3 linked regions of the Stegostoma tigrinum genome follow. The protein of the gene in region 1 purifies or fractionates together with the protein of each later gene. This does not show direct contact. Links are inferred from orthologs where the notes say so. Each region holds a gene or a part of one and is shown in the gene's direction. Other genes may lie near its edges. The genes, in order: CD151 antigen, integrin beta-1-like and itga3b.

The links.
Region 2: the proteins of CD151 antigen (region 1) and integrin beta-1-like purify together in Homo sapiens (affinity purification with western blotting; 4 studies listed by BioGRID and IntAct, with this or other methods). This does not show direct contact. The link is inferred for Stegostoma tigrinum from reciprocal best matches to the Homo sapiens genes CD151 and ITGB1.
Region 3: the proteins of CD151 antigen (region 1) and itga3b purify together in Homo sapiens (co-immunoprecipitation; 4 studies listed by BioGRID and IntAct, with this or other methods). This does not show direct contact. The link is inferred for Stegostoma tigrinum from reciprocal best matches to the Homo sapiens genes CD151 and ITGA3.

What each region holds. Positions count from the first base shown.
Region 1 is NC_081370.1:8,979,180-8,986,879, forward strand, and holds the start of CD151 antigen, read left to right. Parts: upstream 1-4,603; 5' UTR 4,604-4,796; intron 4,797-7,372; exon of another isoform or gene 7,373-7,613; intron 7,614-7,700. UniProt on the Homo sapiens protein: Structural component of specialized membrane microdomains known as tetraspanin-enriched microdomains (TERMs), which act as platforms for receptor clustering and signaling.
Region 2 is NC_081355.1:128,708,180-128,715,711, reverse strand, and holds the start of integrin beta-1-like, read left to right. Parts: upstream 1-4,463; 5' UTR 4,464-4,717; intron 4,718-7,532.
Region 3 is NC_081384.1:21,968,826-21,976,344, reverse strand, and holds the start of itga3b (integrin alpha-3b), read left to right. Parts: upstream 1-4,455; 5' UTR 4,456-4,541; coding exon 4,542-4,726; intron 4,727-7,519.

The sequences.
Region 1 (7,700 bases):
TTGTTAGATGTTTTCTGTCTCCCTTCCCTTTTGAACAAACATGTTACATGAGCAGTTTTCCAATCCTCTGGGACTTTTCCAGAATTTAAAGAATCCTGAACCAATGCATCCACTATATCTGAAGCTACTTATTTTAATATCTTCAGATGTAACCCATCAGTCCAAGGGACTTATCAGTCTTTAGCACCATAAGTTTCCCTAACAATTTTTTCTCTGCTGAGTTACTGCAATTAGTTCATTTCCTCCTTTTGCCTATTGATTATTCTGTATTTTTGGAATACTATTTATGTCCTCCTCCACTGTAAAGTCTGATGAAAAATATTTTTTAAATTCCTCTGCTATTTCCTGGTACCCCATTATTATTGCCCTAGCCTCATTCTCCCCATGTTCTCTTTAGCCTTTCCTTTTAAATATGTTTAAAGAAACTTTTATTATCCATTTTGATATTTATACTCAAAATATGTTCTCTCCTTTTTTTAATATTTTGGTCATCTTTTGATGACTTTTAAACATTTCACAATTCTCTGTCTAATCTTTGCAACATCTATGTTTTTATTTTTTTTCTTTAAATTTGATACTAAATCTCACTTAATTAAATTACATTTTCATCTCAGACCTTTCAAAGGTTCACCTGAAACAGCAGGTAGATTGGGGAGAGACTCACATTGCCTCCTCTTTGCAGAACACCTCCGCTCAGTTCGCAACAAACAACTGCACCTCCCAGTCGCAAACCATTTCCACTCCCCCTCCCATTCTGTAGATGACATGTCCATCATGGGCCTCCTGCAGTGCCACAATGATGCCACCCGAAGGTTGCAGGAGCAGCAACTCACATTCCGCCTGGGAACCCTGCAGCCTAATGGTATCAATGTGGATTTCACCAGTTTCAAAATCTCCCCTTCCCCTACTGCATCCCTAAACCAGCCCAGTTCGTCCCCTCCCCCCACTGCACCACACAACCAGCCCAGCTCTTCCCCCCCACCCACTGCATCCCAAAACCAGTCCAACCTGTCTCTGCCTCCCTAACCGGTTCTTCCTCTCACCCATCCCTTCCTCCCACCCCAAGCCGCACCCCCATCTACCTACTAACCTCATCCCACCTCCTTGACCTGTCCGTCTTCCCTGGACTGACCTATCCCCTCCCTACCTCCCCACCTATACTCTCTCCACCTATCTTCTTTACTCTCCATCTTCGGTCCGCCTCCCCCTCTCTCCCTATTTATTCCAGTTCCCTCTCCCCATCCCCCTCTCTGATGAAGGGTCTAGGCCGAAACGTCAGCTTTTGTGCTCCTGAGATGCTGCTTGGCCTGTTGTGTTCATCCAGCCTCACATTTTATTATCCCTGTAAGTGCTCTCACTTTTTATACTCTGGCTTTCTCAAAGAACAAAGAACAGTACAGTACAGCAGCAGGCCCTTTGGCCCATCAAGACTGCACTGTTACATGATGTGTTTCCAAATTAAAAACCTTTTGCCTCTATGGTGTCTATATCCCTCTATTCCCTGCCTATTCATATATCTGTCAAGATACCACTTAAACATTACTATTGTATCCACCTCCAACAACTCCTCCAGCAGCACATTCCAAGGAGCTACCACTCTCTGTGTAAAATTAAACTTGCCTCTTACATCCCCTTTAAAGTTACCCCTCTTTACCTTAAATCTCGGTTCCCTAGTGATTGACATTTCTACCCTGGGAGAAAGACTCCAACTATCCATGCCCTTGGTAAGTTGGTAAACGTCTTTCAGCCCACTAATCCTTTGATGTTCAAGTGATAACTAACCAAGTTTCTCCAATCTCCCGTCATCTATACCCCTCAATCCTGGTAAACCCTGTTTCTGTACCCTCTCCAAATCCTCCACTTCTGGTGGTTCAGTGGTTAACACTGATGTCTCACAGCATCAGGGTCCTGGGTTTGATTCCACCCTCGGGCGACTGTCAGTGTGGAGTTTGAACATTCTCCTTGCATTTGCGTTGGTTTCCTCTGGGTGCTCCAGTTTCCTCCCACAATGTGCAGGTTAGGTGGATTGGCCATGCTAAATTGCCTGTAGTGTTCAGGGATGTGCAGATTAGGTGCATTATGGGGGAATGGGTCTGAGTGGGATGCTCTGAGGGTCAGTGTGGACTTGTTGGGTTGAAGAGCCTGTTTCCACACTGTAGGGATTCTGTGAAAATTCTATCTATCCTTCTGCAGCAACCAGAACTGTACACAATATTCCAAATGTGGCTGAACTAAAGCTCTGTACAGCTACAACATGACTTGCCAATTTTTATACTCTATGCCCTGACTGATGAAGGCAAGCATGCCAGATGCCTTATTGACCACTTTATCCACTTGTGTTTCCTCTTTCACGGTCCTGTGAACCTGTACACCTAATCCCTCTGTACATTGATCCTACTAAGCGTTCTGTCATTTACTGTATAACAATATATAGTTACATCCTGCTCGCTTTTGCCCCTCACTCACTCCCACCCCTCCCTCCTTTTCTTCTCCTGCTCTCCTCTTCTTCCCATCTTCCCTATCTTTTCTCCCTCTGGCTCCCTTCCAGTCTCTCCTCCTCCCTCACCGCCCAGACTTCCCCTGCTACACACTTTTATCTTTCCTTTCTCCTCTCCTCTTCCTCCTGTCTCCATTCTCTCTCTCCCTTTTCCTTCCCTCTTCTCCCCAGCCCTCTTCTCTCTTTCTTTCCTCATCCCTTCCTCTTTTCACTGGAAAATGTATTCTGTTTGTGAAACATCATTTCCCTAGCCCACCCACTGGTCTCCTCAGAGTGAAGGACAATAATGGTCCTCTCACAAATTGGGTTTTGATCTGTACTGGGCTTGTAACAAAGCTGCCTGCATCTCCCTCCCACAGCCTGTGCGTTCCAGCTAGACTCAATCATACAACAACACAGCTCACACTGAAACATGGTTTTGTTGTCCCCATGGGCAGGGAAAGTTCTTTCTCTCTTTTTGCTCCTTCTCAAAATGCAACCCCTGGTAGCAGCAATTCATCTATCATTTCTATCACATTTCAAACTGCAGTCCTTGCCCCCCACCCCTGCCTCCTGTGATACCTCCCTTAACCACTTAGCTAATATTTCCCCACCCATTGATTTTAGACACTGGAGAACAATAGTCAGAAATTCCCGGGTGGTGAGTAAGAATCTGGAATAATTCCCGAAAGTCTAACAGTTTAAATCCTTCAGGCTACAGCCTGTGGAATTGAGAATGGAAACAGAGTCAGTCATGCTAGGGGCTATTTTCCCTGTAGTGTTGGAGGCTGAGCAGGGACCTTATAGAGTTTTATAAAATCATGAGGAGCATGGACAAGGTGAATAGCCAAGGTCTTTTCCCCCAGGGTAGGGGAGTCCAAAACAAAAGGACATGGATTTAAGGTGAGAGGGAAAAGATTTAAAAGGGGCCTGAGTGGTAGCTTTTTCATGAGGAGGGTGGTGCATGTATGGAATGAACTGCCAGAGGACGTGGTGGAGGCTGGTACAATGACAACATTGAAAAGGCATCTGGATGGGTATATGAATAGGAAGGGTTTAGAGGGTGATAACAAGCTTTAGAGCTGGATGAACACAGCAGGCCAAGCAGCAACAGAGGAGCAGGAAAGCATAGTTGACGGTACTCTCTGGATGGTATGAAGTTAAATACAGTGACTGTCCAAAGAGACTTGGGGATTCAGGTGCATGGATCTTAAAATGTCATGAACAGACAATAATCAAGAAAGCAAATGGAACACTGGCCTTTATATCGAGATGACTGGGACCAGCATAATGATTTGTGGGCCAAAGGGCCTGTTTGTACGCTGTATAGCTCTGTGACTGGAGTACAAGGCTGTAGTTTTACAAAAACCTGGATAGACCCCCTCCCTTGGGGTATTGTGAGCAAACACGGGCACCACATCTTAGGAGGGAGAGATAGTCCTTGGAGGGGGTACAATGTCATCGAGGGCCGAAGGGCCTGTACTGTGCTGTAGTGTTCTATCTTCTAATGTAGGTTCACAAGAAACACACCTGGGCTTCAGGGGTTAAGTTATGAGGAGAAGTTATGCAAATTGGGCATGTTTTCTCTGCTATTTAGAAGGATAAAAGGGTGATATGATTGAAGTCTTCAAGATATTAACTGAAAAGGACAGGGGAGATAAAGGCAAACTCTTTCCATTGGCTGGTGATTCGAGAACTGGGGACATAGTCTGAGAATTAGGGCCAGACCTTTCAGGAGAGATGTCAGGAAGCACTTCTACGCTAAACGGGTGGGAGAGATTTGGAACTCTTCTTCCAGATCAGATTTTATTGGCTGATGATTTTAAATTTATTGGTAGATAAAATCTAAAATTTTACATCTGTGATAGATGAAGTTTCGTTAACCAAAGGGATATGGGCCGAAGTCAGGTATATAGAGTGAGGCCATGTATCGGCTATGATCTCATTGAATGGCAGAACAGGCCTCCTCCTGTTCCTATGTTACTATATTGTCACACAGCTGCTGGGAAGAGGTTGCCGTGTACAGACTGGCTCTTGTGCTTCTTACAACAGTGATGACATTTCCAAAACCCACCCATGGCTCTCAAGTATTTTGCTATGTCCAACACACTTGTAAGAAGTGCAAACGCTGTCTCCTTTCCAACTGGACTATACACTTCTGCCAGATCCGGGGAGGGTCATTGAGTCATACAGCATAGGAGAGGCCCTTCAGCCCTTCATGTCTGCATCAACCTATCTTTGCTATTCCCACTTTCCGGCACTAGGTCCACAGCCTTGAACAGTATGACATTTCAAATGCTCATCCGAGGACTTTTTAAAGGTAGGCAAACGGGAAGCTGGGAGAACACAGCAGGCCAGCCAGCGTCTGGAGGAAAAGTGCTGCCAAGGTTTTGGGTATTACCCTTCTTCAGGACTGGATATGGGGGGGGAGGGGGAGCTGCAGATAAATGGGGGGGCTTTAACAGATTGGTGGTGATAGGTGGACACTGGTGGCAGGTATGACCTGGTTGGTTGATGGGAGGGTTGAATGCAGTTGATGGCTGGAAGAGAGGGTCAGTAGGCGGAATGGAAGGGTCTGGAAAGGGAGGTGGGGGGGTGGCTGGGAATGTTATTTGAATTTGGAGAACTCAATGTTGAGTCCTACAGGCTGTAGGGTGCCCAGGCAGAAGATAAGGTGTTGTTCTTCAAATTTGTGTTCTTGTTCGCTGCGACACTGGAAAAGGCTGAGGATGGACATGTTGGAGGGGGGTGGTGGGTGGGGGGGTGCAGTGGTGGGGTTTGAAATGGGAGATGACTAGGAGGTTAGGTTGGCTGTTACGGGCCGGGCGAAGATGTTCGGCGAAACAGTTATGTAGTCTACGTTTGGTCACACTGACGTAAAGAAGACCACATTGGCATCATCAGAAGTAATAGACTAGGTTGGAGAAGATGCAGGTGAAGTTCTGTCTCACTTGAAGGACTGTTCACAGCCCTGAATATAGGTGAGGGAGGTGGTGTGTGGGCAGATATTGTATCTTTTATGGTTAGAGGGAAAGATACTGGGTGGGTCGGAGTGGTTGGTAGGGAGTGTGGCATGAGCTAAGGAGTGGCAAAGGGAATGGTCCTTGCAGAAGGCAGAGACGGGTGGGGAGTGGGAGATGTTCCTGGCGGTGGGGTCTAATTGGAATTGGCGCAAGTGTTTGAGGATGATACGTTAGATGCAGATGCTGGTGGATTGGAAAGTGAGGACAAGGAGGGTGCTATCTTTATTATGTTTTGTTGGTGGGTGGTTAAGAGCTGTGGAGCAGAGAATGGAAAGGGCACGGTGGAGGGCCGTCTGAATGACAGAAGTGGGAAAAGAGCATTGTTTGGAAAAGGCAGACATTCAGGATGCTTGGGAGTGGAACATTTTCTTATCAGACCAGATGTAATGGAGGCGGAGGAATTGGGAAAATGGAATTGGGTTTTTGCAGGATACAAGGTGGGAGGAGGTGTAGTCTAGGTAGCTATGGGAATATGTGGATTTACAGTAAGTGTCAGTCCGTAAACTGTCACCAGAAATGGAAATGGACAGGTCACAAAAACGGAGGGGGGTGTCTGAGATAGACCAAGTGAATTTGAGGTCGGTGTGGAAGTTGTTAGTGAAGTTTATAACCTGTTCCAGTTCAGCCTGGGTGCAGGACGCAGCACTAACGTAGTCATCGAGGTAATGGCGGAAGAGTTCGGGAACAATATTAGTATATGTTCTAATGAGCGTCTGTTTGACATAACCTACAAACAGGCAGGCATAGCTGGGTTTTTAAAGGTTGTGAGGTTTCTGCGTCAACTACCCTCCTGGGCAGTACATTCCAGATCCCTTCCACCTTCTGGGTGAAAATATTTTTATTTACAATCCTGTCTAAACCTCCTGCTTTTCACTTTAAACTTATGCCCCCTTTATTGACCCTTCAACTAAGGGGAACAGCTGCTTTCTGTACACCCTGTCCTTGCTCCACATAAACTTATACACTCCAATCAGGTTCCCTCTTAACCTTCTCTGCTCTAAAGAAAACAGCTTGAACTTATCCAACCTCTCTTATCATTGTCTCCCCACCTTCTCATTTATATTGTTTATATATTAATTAAAATCAAGCTGGCTGATAGCAGGGTGTGGGACATTGTAAAGTCAGATTCCATGAGTCTATGTCCGCTGACTGGCCTGTGGGACAGCTCTGCTAATTCAGCTACAGGGTCCCCCCCTCTCAGGGTCAGTTTGGAGGCCTCTGAGGGCTGTATTCTTTGCTCAGTCCAGAGGCTGGCAGCTATTTCTGTGGCACTCCTATGCAACCACTTGGCTCTCTAGGCCTGTTCAGATGGCAACCATAAGGAGGGCTGGCTTCTTACTTTAAAGTACAATAATAAACCTGAAGCTGTGTGTGTTTTTCACTGTGATCTCTCTCTGTGTATTTACTAGGTGTCCCGGGGTTGGCTTACTGTGTTTCTGTAGGTGCTAGATGAATGCAGTTACATTAGGATTGTAGTGTGGTGTCTCTATTTCACTCTGCGTGTATCCACTTAGGCACTAGGGAATGTGGTTATGTTAGTACTGCCCTGTGGTCTCCCTCTCTGTGTCTATGCACTAGGTGTGCTGGGATTGGCCTGACAGTGCTGTGTTTCACTCGGTGCTAGATGAATGCAGTTACATTAGTACAGTACATGGTGTCTCTCTTTCTCTCTGTCTCCATATCCACTAGATGTCATATGAATGCAGTTACAGTAGCATTGCCCTGTGCTCTCCCTCTGTGTGTGAATGCTCTGGGTGTCCTGGGGGCTAGCCTGACATTGCTGGGTTTCTCTCGGTGCTATATGAATGCAGCTACATGAGTATTGTACTGTGGTGCTCTCTGTTTCCACTAGGTGGTAGGGGAACGCAGTGACACTGGCACAACCCCGTGTGTGGGTGGCCCTGGGGCCAGGCTGGGTTGCTCCGGGATGAGGCAGGGCTCAGTTTGAGACGGGGCGGGTTTATCGATGCTTTGTCATTTTCGGCGAGTGCAGTTGAAGCGAAGTGAGTCGGAGGGCAGCCCCCGGAGCTGGGCACAGCCGCTGGGACAGTGAGAGGGTGTGTGTGTGTGTGTGAGAGAGAAACAGAAACAGCGAGCAGAGGCTACAGCAACCGGTAAGGGACGGGCGCACAACAACTGCGGAACACGGAGGGCGGACCTTTCCCAGCCGCTAGGTGTGGGATCCTGCTGTGTAACGCCAG
Region 2 (7,532 bases), on another chromosome or scaffold:
CAAGTTGCATCTAGGGTCATAGGATTAACTGTGAAAATGAAACAGCATCTACCTTCCCATATGAATATAAAAACTGATGGTAGTACTTGATGATTAACAGGTGTTCTCCCCAGTGTCCCGGTCAGGATTTATCCCTCGGGCAACGTGACTTAACTAGATTATATTGTCATTTTTTAAAATTCAATTCCTGAGACATTGCCATGCTCAATTTTGACTGTAGTATTCCCCCACAAGTTGACAAAGATTATAAACCAATGGGCCTTCATTTCTGCAACATTGTTAGGATGTAAAACACATTGAGTACATTAAAGTTCTCTTTTCCTTTGATTCTTAAGTGAATATTAGCAAAGACAATATGTTTATCAAAGCCTATTTTCATGGGCCAGCTCCAATCTCATCCTATTGAAGTTCTTTCACTTCATTCCAAACTATTGCCTTTACTTGTGGCACTTCCAATTGTGATCACAATGTAAGCAATCAAGAGTGGTCTTGCTGGATCACTGCCCCCTTCCTAACCTGGTGGAATCAAGTATGAAGCATGAGGAATATTTTAGCATTCAAACTACTGCCACCTAAGATCAGCTTAATAGAGATGTAGGGAGTGGAGTGAATGATGTAAATGTTAAAGGAAGTTACCTGTGGAAACTTGCAAAAAGCAATAAATCATTATGATTCTGAGCACTTTACTTTTCATTTAAAGTCTGATTTTAACTGTTCATGACACTTAAGATCCTGGAGAATACCGCACTCTGAAGGCAGTTGGTTGGATAATTGAGGAATTTGGATTATTGTTTCAAATATAAATTGATGATGCAATTGTGCTTAGACATGCCAGTGGAAAAAACACTAAGGAAGGACCGAGTTTATTTGTGGTATTTTTCACTCAAATACTGGCTATTTCACATATTAAACAAACTCTTAATAAGCAGTGTTGTCTCCATAAAGAAAATCTTTGAGAAAGTAAGAGGTATTGGAGTGTTTCACCTTTTGAGATTCCTGAGAACAGTGCATGAGTTACATATTGAATGCAAGGAGTGTTCTAATCAACGTGCTTTTGGTAATCTAACTGTGAGTGAAGGGAATTCCAGTGTTGCAAGTTTAGTTCTACAGAATCCATTAATAAAACTAGCTGATCACCTGTTATTGGCATTGTCCAGTAGTATAGCCTGGCTTACTCAAATCATATTACCAGTTTGTGGCGGGGGGGGGGGGGGAATTAATCTGCATTTTAATGTTCCGGAGCCAAATGGCTCCTATCAGTTAAGCTTTGCTCGACACAGATGATCTTCAATTTTTTTACTGTTATTGTTTTTACTTTGTCATTTTACCTGTTAGTGCCATCTGTTCCTTTTTATATGTTACTTGTGGCTGGCATATAAGAAGCTTCCATCTACAATTCTCATGAAAAGCACGCTTTACTTCTGGATGCACTAGTATGCTTGTATTTATCAAGCTGAGGCATTTTCATTGGCTTGGGCAATTCACAAGAAGGAAGATAGCCACATTTTTGTGTTCTGAGAGAACTGGAGACTGATGAGACACCCAATGTTCCACTTCAAAGGTACTTGCCAGTGTTACATAATTCTGGCTAAACACTGATTCTGGCAGATACTATCTGATGGCAGAGAATAGTGTAAACACCTTGGCAAGAGGTGCTAACATTAAAAATAACAACCCACAAGGATATGTGACAACACTTTTTTGTCGTGCAGTATGTGAGGACAAACCTGACACTCATTTGCTGCTTTAAGAAAGAAATCTGAGTATTGTACGAAGCTATTCCCAAATCCAAAGGATTTCCTTTGCTCTATGTCCATCATTTTACAGACTGAAGATTTCTGACAGGTTAACTGCCAAATATATATGACAAGTACAAAAGAGAATTGAAAGGCTTCCATCCTTCCGTAGCTCAGGTTTATTTCAATTAGTGAGCACTAATGATATAAACAGAGTTGTCAACACTGGTTTGACACATTACAACATGATCTCATGCTTCCAATTGACCTAATCCATATTTGTGGCTTCAGTTGTCTACTATTCTCATCCACATGATGTTCACTTTTTAATTGATGTGGGAAGGCAGAGCAAACAATTTATTGGCTTATTGAATGATTCTTGACTGCCAGTTAGCCTTTTTCCCATCCCTAATATTCATGGTTACACTTCTTCAACAATTTTAGGGCTGAACAGTAACAAATGGAATTTAATCCTGCAAAGTGGGAGGCGGGGGGGGGGGGGAAAGGCAAGGGAATACATGTTGAACGGTAGGATCCTAGGAAGTATAGAGGATCAGAGGGACCTTGCTGTGCATGTCCATAGATTTTCGAAGGCGGGTGAATAGGATGTTTACAAAGGGATATGAGATACATGCTTTCATTCATCAAGGCGTTGCATACTCAAGCAAGGAGGTTACAATGGAGCTACATATGTTAGTTAGACCACAGCTGGAGTACTGTGGGCAGTTATGGCTGTCAAAATATAGGAAGGATGTGATTGCACTATAGAGAGTGTAAAAGAGGTTCACTAGTCTGGGCTGAAGTGATTATCTGTAAAGAGAGACTATATAGACTGACAGCATTTTCTCTAGAGCAGAAAAGGCTATTAGGAGGACTCTGAGGTGCACAACGTTCTGAGGGGCAGAGACAGGGTAGATACGGAAAAGCATTTCTCCTTAACGTAGGGGTCAATAACTGGGCAGTACAGGTTTAAGGTAAGGAGCAGGAGGTTTAAAGGGGATTTGAAGGAAAATATTTTCTTTGAAAGAATGTGGGCATTTGAAACTCACTGCCTGAAATGTAAAAACATTGAAAATAGCTGAAGTAGGTCATTTTGGCCCTTCGACACTGCTCCACCATTCAACATGATCATGGCTGATTATCCAACTCAGTACGTGGTTCCTGCATTCTCCCCATACCCTTTGATCCCTTTAGTACTAAGAACTATAACTTAACTCCTTAAACATTCAACCACTTTCTGGGGCAGAGAACTCTGGATGAAAATATTTCTGCTCAACTCTAAATGACCTATCCCATACCCTTGAATAGCAATCTATAGTTTGCAACTACCCAGGCATCGGAAACATCCTTCATGCATATATTCTGTCCAGTCATGTAGGAATTCATAGGCTCCTGTGAGACACCCGCTCCCCTTAATTCTTATAAATGCCAGTGAATATAGCCCTAGGTGATCCAGTTTTTATTTGTCAGCCCTGCCATCCCAGCAATCTATCTGGTAAACCTTTATTGCACTCCCTCCATAATAGCCAGAAAATACTTCTTCAGATAAGGAAATCAAAACTGACCACAATACACCAGATCTGGTTTCATCGCAACCCTACACGATGCAGCAAGACATCCCCTGCTCCTATACTCCAATCCTCTTGCTGTGGAGGCCAACATACCATTTGCCACCATTGCTGACTGCTGGACCTCCAATGGTCACTTTTCATTGACTGATGTGCAAAGACATCCAGGCCTTGTTGCACCACCCCATTTTCCAAACTACCATTATTCAAGTTATAATTCAACTTTTTTGTTTTTGTTCCCAAAATGGATAACCTTATGTATTCACATTATACTTCAGCTGTCATGTATTTGCTCACTCTCACAACTTGTACAAGTCACACTTAATTTGTGGTAGAGGCAGGAACTAGACAGATAGGAACTACTTAAGTAAGTTCTGGAAACACCATGTTTTGTTGTAAGGGTCTCCTTCCCTGCTGTAAAAGCTCTTATCAACGTTTCCTAAATCAATAATCTCCACCATTTAGAACATGGGCAGCAGTTGGGGACACTGTCACGTTCAAGTTCCCCTTCATATCAGATAGCTTGCTGATATGCACTGATTTCTGCATGATCTCTCGGTCAAAATCCTTGAACTTCCTATCAAAAACAGCATTTATAGAAACACACTCACCACACGGCCTTCGAGATTTTAAGAAGGTAGTTCACCTTCTCAAGAAACAGAAAACTAAGGTTGGCCTTGCCAGCTCTGCCCGCGCCCTGTGGGTGAATTTTAAAAGTCTCCAAGTTAAATGAAACAAGCAAAACGTTATTTTTGTAGTCTTTCAGAGATTTTATTTTCTTCCTTGTAGTGTTGAACGGGGTGTTCTCTGATGGACCTGAGCTGAATAGTTGAGGGGGAAAAAGTTGTAGCTTTGCCAGTCCCAGATGCCATCCAAAGTGCAGATCAGTGAAGCGGTCTTGGGTCACCCTTCCACTGCAGAACACCACCGCGCAATGACATCACCCTTCATTCACCGCCACGCCCACGCAATGACGTCTACAGTCTGGAATGGGTTTCCGGGGCGGGGCGGCAGCGTCCCTCGGCTGAATTCGGAGCCATTCGGCAACACCGCTCGCCTGAGCTTGGAAGGATTCGGCACCGCGCATCTGACCTTAGGAATCATTCGGCGGTCCTGTTCGGCTGAGCTCGGAGGAGGAGCCAGTGTCGCGGGGGGGAGGGAGGGAGAGAGGGGGAAAAAAAGAGTGAAGAGAGACAAGGGAGCCGCCGCCACCGCTGGACGGAGCGACGTCCCGGAGAAAAGAAACGGAGCCTGGGCTTGAGGTGGAGGCTTAAAGAAAAAGAAAACCCGAAGATCAAGTGCTATTTGAAGCGTTAAAAGGAGGGAACGTCTGCAAAGCACAACTGCCGCCGGGGCCAGAATAAATCTTAACGGCTGTAAATATCCTTAGTCTGAGAGACTTTTGTGTTAAAGGTAAGCGGGACGGCCCGGAGATAAGCTTAAATAGAAAAGCCGGTGGGAGTCTGGCTGCTCTTCACCGTCTTGTGTGTGCCCCCAGCCCCTGAGTTTGGGCGAGGGAGGTAGAGGTATCCTCAGAAGATTCTCTTTTTTTTCTTTTCCTATCTCCAGCCGCAAAAAGGGCAGGAATGTAATACATGTCCTATTTTTGGGTGGGGATACAGGCAGCTATTTTAAATATATATCTCTTTTTCACACACATGCTCAGACACGGAGGGCCGGGGTGATAAATCTCCGAGTGCTGTCGAGTCCAGTTTACTACTGGAACTCGGGAGGCAACTGTTTCGTGGACATTTTTGGTATTCAGAATTTGGGCATTTCTTGTCGGCCAGATTGAGCCTTCACACACTGTCTCCTCCCCACACGCGCAAAAAAAAGCTCAGTGCCATGTAGAGGTGGTTTTATTTTAGCTTTGATTTGTAATCTCGATCTGTACTTTCAGATACATAAACATTGAATGTTCTTAGTGGCACCTAAACAACCAGAGTTTGTTCTGAACAATGCTGCATACCTATCTTTTTTTGTAAGTGCCCTTAGGGCGTGTATATTGTTTTGCCTCGTCTTTTGTCTGAAAGTCATAGCAAAATGACTGCCGTTTGACTGCCTTTTATTAATCATCTCCGCATTAAGTAGTTGAAAAAAAGTCGAACTTTGGACAGTTTTAGGGACATTGTGTTTCACTATCTTAAAGAACCTAATGTGTGGAGATGCTTAAAAATGATAAAACAATAGGCGTTTTTAGGCTTTGTGCTGTGCAATTGATGGACTGCGACCTATTTATATTTCATATTCGCATATGTACAAATAAGGAAATAAGATTTAGCAAAGTTTTGTTTCTGTATTAATGAGGAAGACTAATTTTATTCCAGTTTTAAAGATTTATTTGTGTTTAGAGAAGTGTGAATCTACTTTCCAAAGTGGATCAGAAAACTTAAGGATTCAGTTTTACTATTGACTTTCCATCCATAAACTTAGTTTAGGTTTCTTAGAATTTAACCCAATAAAATATATCACAAGTTTTGTAAAACATTGCCTGATTCTACAGATGCTATTGCTTTTAGCTACCTTATGTACTGTACTGTACATTGACGAATGATGGTTGCTAGATTGAAGCTATGAAAAAAGTACTAGAATTACTGCATCATCTCTTCAATTAATTGATCTTGGCTGAAATGATGGTAAGAACAGTAGTACTGATTTTGTGACAAATAGAATTCTGGAGAAACTCAGCAGGTGTGGTACAACTTAGTTTCTCCAGCTCTGTGTATTTTCGATGTAATGCTCAAGCCTGACTCTCAACTCCTGACTAATCCCAACAGGAGATCAATGAGTGAATGACTAACTATTTTTTTCCTTTAGTATCATGGAGTCAATACTCCATTCTGAAGAGGAGTCGTACTGGACTCACCATTAACTTTGTTTCTCAGCCAATATTGCCAGATCTGCTGAGTTTCTCCTGCATTCTTTGTATTTGTTCCAAATTTCCAGCATCTGCAGTATTTTTAATTTTGTTTAGGTGTTGTGTTTCCCTTTTTATTGATGAACTTACTACAGCTCACCATCTCAACTTGTATATGAGTAGTCAGTTAGGGCCACGTGCCATAAGTGAAACAGTCTTTGCATCACAAGTCAATATAAGAGAAATAAAAATGCGTGGATCAGCCGGCATCCACCTAAATACCAGAAAAGACCATGGCAAGAACAGCCCTGTCAACCATGCAAAGCCTTTCTTACTAACGTGCAGGTTTGTGCCAAAATTGAGAGTTAACCCATGGACTAGTTGAGCAATACTCTTGGTCATACTCGTGGAATTGAGTCTGATACCAGGATATCTTGGACCTGGTATCCAAGGTCTCGGATACCAGTGCACGACCACTGGATATGTCCTGTCCCACTGGCAGGACAGGCCCCTCACAGATGATGGTATACAATGGGGCTAGTTTTTTCTTGGGAGTCAACATCGGCCATGAACCCAACAAAGTCTCATTGCATCAGGTCCAACAGAAACGAGGAAATCACCTGCTGATTGCCATCTATTGACCCCTCAGCTGATTGCTCTGCACTTCATGTTGAACACCAATGAAAAGGACATACTCTGGGCCAGAAACTTCAATATCCATCACCAACAGTTTTTTAGTAGTGCCACTACTGAATGAACTGGTTGAGTTCAAAAGGAGAGAGCTGCTAGAATGGATTTGCTGCAGGTCGTGCGGGAACCAACAGAAAGGAACAACCAATCCAGTTTTAAAGGTAGGCGTGGGACTCCTAAAGGATGCATCTGTGGAATTGATAACAGAATGGGGAAATGACACATAGTTTAAACTAATATTTTACATTGCTGTTCACAAAGGAGGACACAGTAAAAATCCCAAAGGCAATAGATAAGCAAGGTACTAATGGAGAGAAAGATCTTGTTAAGTTTCTTTCACAAAATTTTGAGGTATTTGGCAAACTCAAAGGACTGAAGGCGGACGTGTTCCTAGGACCCGATGATTTGTGACTTGTGTCAGAGGTTTTAAGTGGACACATGGTTGAAATATTCCAGAACTCAGTGGATTGGCGAAGGGTTTCAGTGGCTTGCTAGTATGTTGCCACATTCAACAAAGGAACAAGACAGAAAGCAGGAACTGTAGGCCCCTTGGTCTAACATCTGTCATTGGGTAAATGCTAGCAACTCCACAATGAGTGGATCAAATCTAATCTCTGCAGTTCTGCCACATCCAAATGTGAATGGTTGTTGACAGTTAAATAATTAATAGAAGTAAATTCT
Region 3 (7,519 bases), on another chromosome or scaffold:
ATACATTTAATGTTTTTGCTTTAACTAGTTTCTGTGGCAGTGAATTACACAGGTTCACCTGGATATGCTCCCCTATTGAAGTTGCCCATCTAGTCTTGTTAGAATGTTTTAGGTTTCTGTGAGATCCTCTGTCACTCTTCTAAACTCCAGAGAATATAGTCCTAATCGATCCATTTCTCTACGATTCCATGCTTATTCTCAGCAACTGGTGTTTTGTTGTAGCCCCCTCTTTCCCAATCTATCACCATCCAGACCATAGCCTGCCTTTCTGTTTTTGCTATCAAAGTGGATAACATCATGTTTGTCGACATTATATTTAATCTGCCATCAATAGATCTGCCATCTATTTGCCTACTCATTCAACTTGTCTAAATCACACTGAAGCATTTCTACATCCTCCTCACAGCTCACCCACCCAGTTTTGTGTCACTTGCAAACTTGGAGATGTTGCATTTAGTTTGCTCATCCAGTGATTGATTTTTTTTATTCTGAATAGGTAGGGTCCAAGCACAGGTCTCTATGGTGCCCCGCCAGCCATTGGCTGCCATAAGAAGAAGATCCATTTATTCCTACTGTTTGTTTCCTGACGGTTCTTTATCCATGTCAGTACATTTCTCTCATTTCCATGCACTTCAGTTTTGTATGCTGATCTCTTATTTGGGACCCTATTGAAAGCTTTTGAAAAGTCCAAGTAAACCACAACCATTTCAGGATGGAAAATAAATGTTCATGTTATTGGTGCTTTTCATGACCCCAAGATATTTCAATGTGCTTTCCTGCCAATAAAGCACTTTTGAAAGAATCACAGGAGACAATTCCAACAGCTATTTTTTGAGATGAACATAAATTACACGAAATCTTCATGGAAGATTGAGGAAAAGATCATCTTCATTGCCACCTCTTGCTGTACCCATACTTCAATGCAGTTTCCATCTGAAACTTAATTTGCAATTAAAATTGTGAAAATAGTTTGCACTTCCAGTTTGGAATTTGGCTGCTGATAATATGTTCACAATTATATGATTGCACCAGTTTTAAACCTACCCTTAAGATGAGGTTGTATTTAACATTATAGTTCAATTAAAAAAATCTGCAAGTGCTGAAGATCTGAAACAAAACAAAAATTGCTGCAGAAACTCAGCACGTTTGGTAGCATCTGCAGAGATAGGAACAGAATAATTGTTTGGAGTCCAGTGACATTTCTTCCGCATGTATTATATTTACCATTGACTTGCCTTTATTGGTCAGTGCATTAAGTAGAGGAGTTGGGAGATCATGTTGCGGGCGTACTGGGCATTGGTTATGCTACTTTTGGAATATTGTGTTCAGTTACGGTCTCCCTGCTGTAGAAAGGATGTTGTGAATCTTGAAAGGGTTCAAAAAAGATTTAAAAGGATGTTGCCAGGGTTGAAGGCCTTGAGCTATAGGGAGATGCTGAATAGGCTGGGGCTAATTTCCCTGGAGCGTCGAAGGCTAAGGGGTGATTTTATAGAAGTTTATAAAATCATGAGGGGTATGGATAGAGTGATTAGCCAAGATCTAGATCTAGATCCAAGAGCAGAGCCTAACGGGGAAGACAGTAGACCAACAATGGCAGGAGTTTCTGGGTGTAATTGAGGACGCAGTACAGAGGTTCATCCCAAAGAAAAGAAAGATTATCCGGGGTGGGATTAGACAGCCATGGCTGACAAAGGAAGTCAGGAAATATATCAAAGAAAAAGAGACAGCCTATAAAGTGGCCAAGTGCACTGGGAAATCAGAATATTGGGAAGGCCTCAAAAACAGACAGAGGGTAACAAAGAGAGCAATAAGGAAGGAGAAGATCAAATATGAAGGTAGGTTAGCTAGTAATATTAGAAATGATAGTAAAAGCTTCTTTCAATACATAAGAAACAAACGAGAGGCAAAAGTAGATATTGGGCCGCTCCAAATTGATGCTGGAAGGGTAGTGATGGGAGATAAGGAAATAGCTGAAGAACTTAATAAGTACTTTGCGTCAGTCTTCACAGTGGAAGACATGAGTAGTATGCCAACAATTAGGGAGAGCCAGGGGGCAGAGTTGAGTATGGTAGGCATTACAAAAGAGAAAGTGCTAGAAAAGCTAAAGGGTTTAAAAATTGATAAATCTCCTGGCCCCAATGGGCTACATCCTAGAGTTCTGAGGGAGGTGGCTGAGGAAATAGCGGAGGCTTTGGTCGTGATCTTTCAAAAGTCACTGGAGTCAGGGAAAGTCCCAGATGATTGGAAAATTGCTGTTGTAACTCCCTTGTTTAGGAAAAAATCAAGGCAAAAGAAGGAAAATTATAGGCCGATTAGCTGAACCTCAGATTAAAACAAGTCAGCATGGTTTTAGTAAGGGAAGGTCGTGCCTGACAAACCTGTTAGAATTCTTTGAAGAGGTAACAAGTATGTTAGACCAGGGAAACCCAGTAGATGTTATGTATCCAGACTTCCAAAAGGCCTTTGATACAGTGCCTCACGGGAGGCTGCTGAGCAAGGTGAGGGCCCATGGTGTTCGAGGTGAGCTACTGGCTTGGATTGAGGATTGGCTGTCTGACAGAAGGCAGAGATTTGGGATAAAAGGCTCTTTTACGGAATGGCAACCGGTGACGAGTGGTGTCCCGCAGGGTTCAGTGTTAGGGCCACAGCTGTTCACCTTATGTATTAATGATCTGGATGAAGGGACTGGGTGCATTCAGGCGAAGTTTGCTGATGATACGAAGATAGGTGAACAGGCAGGTAGTACTGAGGAGGTGGGGAAGCTGCAGAAAGATTTGGACAGTTTAGGAGAGTGGTCCAGGAAATAGCTGATGAAATTCAATGTGAGTAAATGTGAGGTTTTGCACTTTGGAAAAAAGAGTACAGGAATAGACTATTTTCCAAACGGTGAGAAAATTCGCAAATCAGAAGTGCAAAGGGATCTGGGAGTGTTGGTCCAGGATTCTCTAAAGGTTAACTTGCAGGTAGAGTCCGTAATTAAGAAAGCGAATGTAATGTTATCATTTATCTCAAGCGGGTTGGAATATAAAAGCAGCGATGTGCTTCTGAAGCTTTATAAGGCTCTAGTTAGGCCCCATTTAGAATACTGTGTCCAATTTTGGGCCCACACCTCAGGAAGGACATACTAGCCCTGGAGCATGTCCAGTGGAGATTCACACGGATGATGCCTGGAACGGTAGGTTTAATGTATGGTGAACGGCTAAGGATCCTGGGATTGTACTCATTAGAGTTTAGAAGGTTGAGGGGAGATCTAATAGAAACTTACAAGATAATGCATGGTTTAGAAGGGGTGGACGCTAGGAAGTTGTTTCCATTAGGTGGGCAGACTAGGACCCATGGGCACAGCCTTAAAATTAGAGGGGGTAAATATAAAACTGAAATGAGGCGACATTTCTTCCGCCAGAGAGTGGTGGGCTTGTGGAATTCATTGCCGCAGAGTGCAGTGGAGGCCGGGATGTAGGATGCCTTCAAGGCAGAGATCGACAAATTCTTGATCTCAGAGAGAGTCAAGGACTACGGGGAGAGTGCAGGGAAGTGGTGTTGAAATGCCCATCAGCCATGATTTAAATGGCGGAGTAGACTTGATGGGTCGAATGGCCTTACTTCCACTCCCATGTCTTATAGTCTTATGGTCTTATCTTTTCCCAATGGTGGAGGAGTGCAGGCCAGAGGTCATAGGGTTAAGGTGAGAGGAGAAAGGTTTGAAAGTGACCAAACGGGCAACTTTTCACACAGAAGGTAGTGTGTGTATAGAATGAGCTGCTGGAAGAAGTGGTGGAGGCTGGTACAATTAAAACATTTAAAAGGCATCTGGATGGGTATACGAATAGGAAAAGTTTCATGGGATATGGGTCAAATGCTGGCAAATGGGTCTAGATTAATTTAGGATATCTGGTCAGCGTGGACAAACCGGACTGGAGTGTCTGTTTCAATGGTGTAGAGCCGTATGATTCTATAATGGGAATTCTCAGCAGGTCTGGCAGAATCTGGGGAGAGAACGCAGAATTAACATTGCTTGTGTTCTGAAGAAGGGCCATTGGGCCTGAAATACAAAATCTACTTTCCAACGACAGAAGCTGCCAGACCTGTTGAGTTTTCCCAACAATTTCTATTTGTGTTTCTAATTTCCAGCATCCACAATTTTTTAATATACATATTTATCATTAGTTCATTTAACCTCGTTTGTGGTTCCTCTGCTCATGGCATCAAATTGCCAATTAACTAGTGGGACCCACAACCTGAATTTGAAATCATAATAGTCCAAGTAACTCGAGAATGGAGGCAATCATTTGATATAATTAATCCTTTCCTGGGTTTTCCCCAGGGTGAATTAAAACAAAACTGTACATCAATAGTGAGGTTTTGGAATGACATTGCCGTTTTAAGGTCTGCAAAGTGCTGAGTCGATCTGATTGAGTCGGGAAGGAAAGCCTCATCTATGCGCAGGTTTGAAGGGCAGGCGTGTACAGTGCTAGAGGGTGTGGAGAGAGACTGGGTACTTGCAGTATCACCGTGTAACTCAGACCGCCTTTGAAATCGACATGGCGCCTTATACAGCTCCTCAGTTTCAGCCCGGGCTATACCTTCTCCTATCAACCGCGGTGGCGGTCTCTTCTGCTTTTAACATCGATGTGAAGTTCCCGATCATTAAACAGGGACCACCCGGCAGCTACTTCGGATATTCGGTGGCGTTACACCGACAACTGAAAGATCAGGATCGCTACCTGTAAGTGCATTATGGATCAGGAATGAGAGAGAGAGGGAGGGAGCGGTGTGTGTGTGTGTGTGTGTGTGTGCGCGCTGGTGGCTGGCGAGGGACGGTGGGTTGCTTAGGAATTGTACCGGTGGTAGTAGTTTGTAAGTACAGGTGAAATGCTGTAAAATGGGATCGACTTTTAAAACCCGAGAACTGTTGATTGAACTTTTTAAAAAAAGAAAAAAAAGGAATGTTACTGGCTTAGTTTTAACGTTCGTTATGAAGTAGTTTTACAAATTCACATCCTTATTTGCAGCAGTTTCTATTGGAGTATTTTTAAAATCCTCTCAGTATACTACACTTCTAATACATATATACTTATATGAATGTGAGTTCCCTTCTAAACGAATAGCCTATCTTCCTGAGCCATAAACTTGATTTTTCAGCGGCTTTAACTCAGCGGGTGCTGGTCTGTTGCAAATTCTGTGCAAAGTTTAGGGAATGGAAACTTTTCAGACCGGTTGAGGCGCGGCGACGCTGGCAGATAGCTCAGAGAGCGTGAGACAGTGTACTGATTGTCATAGTCTCTTCCTGAAGCGTTATCTCCAAGTATCCCCACACCTTGTGTGTGAGTCCGGGACAACCCAGATCGCCGGCAGAAACACAATATCAATCGCTTTGCGTTTTGTTTTCTCGATTTGCCTTGCATTTCGGTGAGGAGACACCGTAAGGACTTTCTCAAATGGAGTGTGCAGTGGGAGTAGGTTGCTGACCGCTTTACGTCATGAACTGAGGATAGTGTGGAGTTGTTTCTGAATGGGGTGGGATATGGGTTTAATATACATCGCTTCCAGCAATTCTTCGGTGCGAGTGTTCCCAGTTTGAGACTTTCCCCCTGTGTCTCTGTGTGCTATGTTTGTGGAGGTGCGTTTAGACGCTCGAAGTAGTTCACTCATCTGAAACAGAAATAGAAATTGCTGGAGAAATTCAGTAGGTCTGTGCAGAGAGGGAGAGGGAGAGAAACAGTTCAATTTCCGAGTCCAGTGATAGGTCTTCGTTAGATCACAAATCTGTCCTGTCCCCGGATCGATCTGCGTGTTCTTTTGTATTCAGGTTTTCGCGGTGGAGATGGTTGGCGATGTGGTTTTAGGAGCAAGTGACCGGTGTGCTCGGGACACCTGTAATCGCAAAGTGAATGTGTTTTGTGGCTGTGCAAACTCCGGAATCACAGGGGCTCCCAAGCCCATCATCCTGTGCCTTGGGGAGTGGGAAACTTGGCTTGTTTGTCTAAGCTGAGTGCTGCTTTAATAGAAGGATAAAGGACTTATCAGCAAGACATTCCTTTCGCGGATTTGTGGGCTGGGGGAAGGGTAGCACTGCATATTTCCTTTTGCAGACACAAATTGTTGAACGTGAGACCCAGGCTTTCCCCCTCAGAGTTCACTGATCTACCTGGGGCTCCCGTGGAGACTTTAGAATTTTGTTTTCGTCTTGCATGCGTTTGTTGTAGTAGATTTCGAGAAACGTAAACTTGGGATTGGAATGGCATGTTGCTTTACAGACTGTTGCCTCACCCCTCTGCTTAATCACCCTAACGATCTGAAAAAAAAACGCATTGATCCAATTTGCTCAGTGAATCATTCACTCAGATCTGACCAGCCACACTTTCGCCAACTGCATTTATGCAGGGCTGACATTCAAGTAAAGAGTTGGGAAGTGTTTTGCCCGACCATTTTTCCGCATGGTTTGAACACAGAACTGACTTTCTCTCCTCAACTTTCGTTCCCCTTTCTTTTCTGGATGTTCTCCGCTAAACCGTGTTACCCAGTGCCACCTAATGTTTCACTGAAATGGTTGTACGCACACAGAAACTTGGATAATATCGAGCTAAGTTGATCTCCAATCCGCCTTTCATCTCATCGTTACACTGGTACATAAAGAATTTGAAACCTCCTTGTATTGCCCCCGCCTTAAAAGGGAGACCTTGAAGCAACTCCAGCTGAGAATAGGTAAACTTTGTACTGTGGTCAGGAATTCACCCTGGGGCCCTCTGCCTGTCTGCCTCAGACACCGAGGGGAACCTTGCTATTCCAATGAGAAAGGGAATGAGGGACTATGGGAAAAGGCAGAAAAGTGGAATTGAAGATTATCAGACCTGCCATGATCTCAGTGGCACAGCAGACTTGATGGGCTGAATGTTCTTTTTCAGCCCTTTGCACATTTTAGTTTTGAAAATTGTGCTACTTTTTAAAATGAGAAGTTGCCAATGCAGAATGATGAAACTGCTGTTTGGTTGCTCAGAAAATTTTGCAGATCTACAAATAAACTGTTTTAAAACAAAGAACAGCGAATACTGGAGATCTGAAACAAACAGGAACCGAAATTGCTGGAGGAACCCAACAGGTTTGGAAAGAAAACAGAGTTACCATCTTAAGCTTTGTGCCTTTTCTAATAAATTGCTTTTCCAGATGATGATTTTTCTGTCTGACCATCTGATTACTGACAGAATTCAGATATGTATCTTTTACCAAGTAGATACACATGATTAAAAATGACTGTAGCCTTTTCTCCAATTTTTACTTGTCCTACAGGCAGTGATTCACAGTGGATTCTGATTACTTGCTGATGGCTACCTGTCACTACTTCATCATTCCACAGACCATTCTTTGCACATAATTTCATCAGGGAGTGGCAACAGGTTATTCGATTATGGAAAATGTCACAGTCAAGTATGTCACTGACTTCAACTGACTTCCTTGCAGGCATACTTTCCAACAAGAGAATGCAGATTCTTTCCCCCAGGCACAGTACTGTCCTTTTATT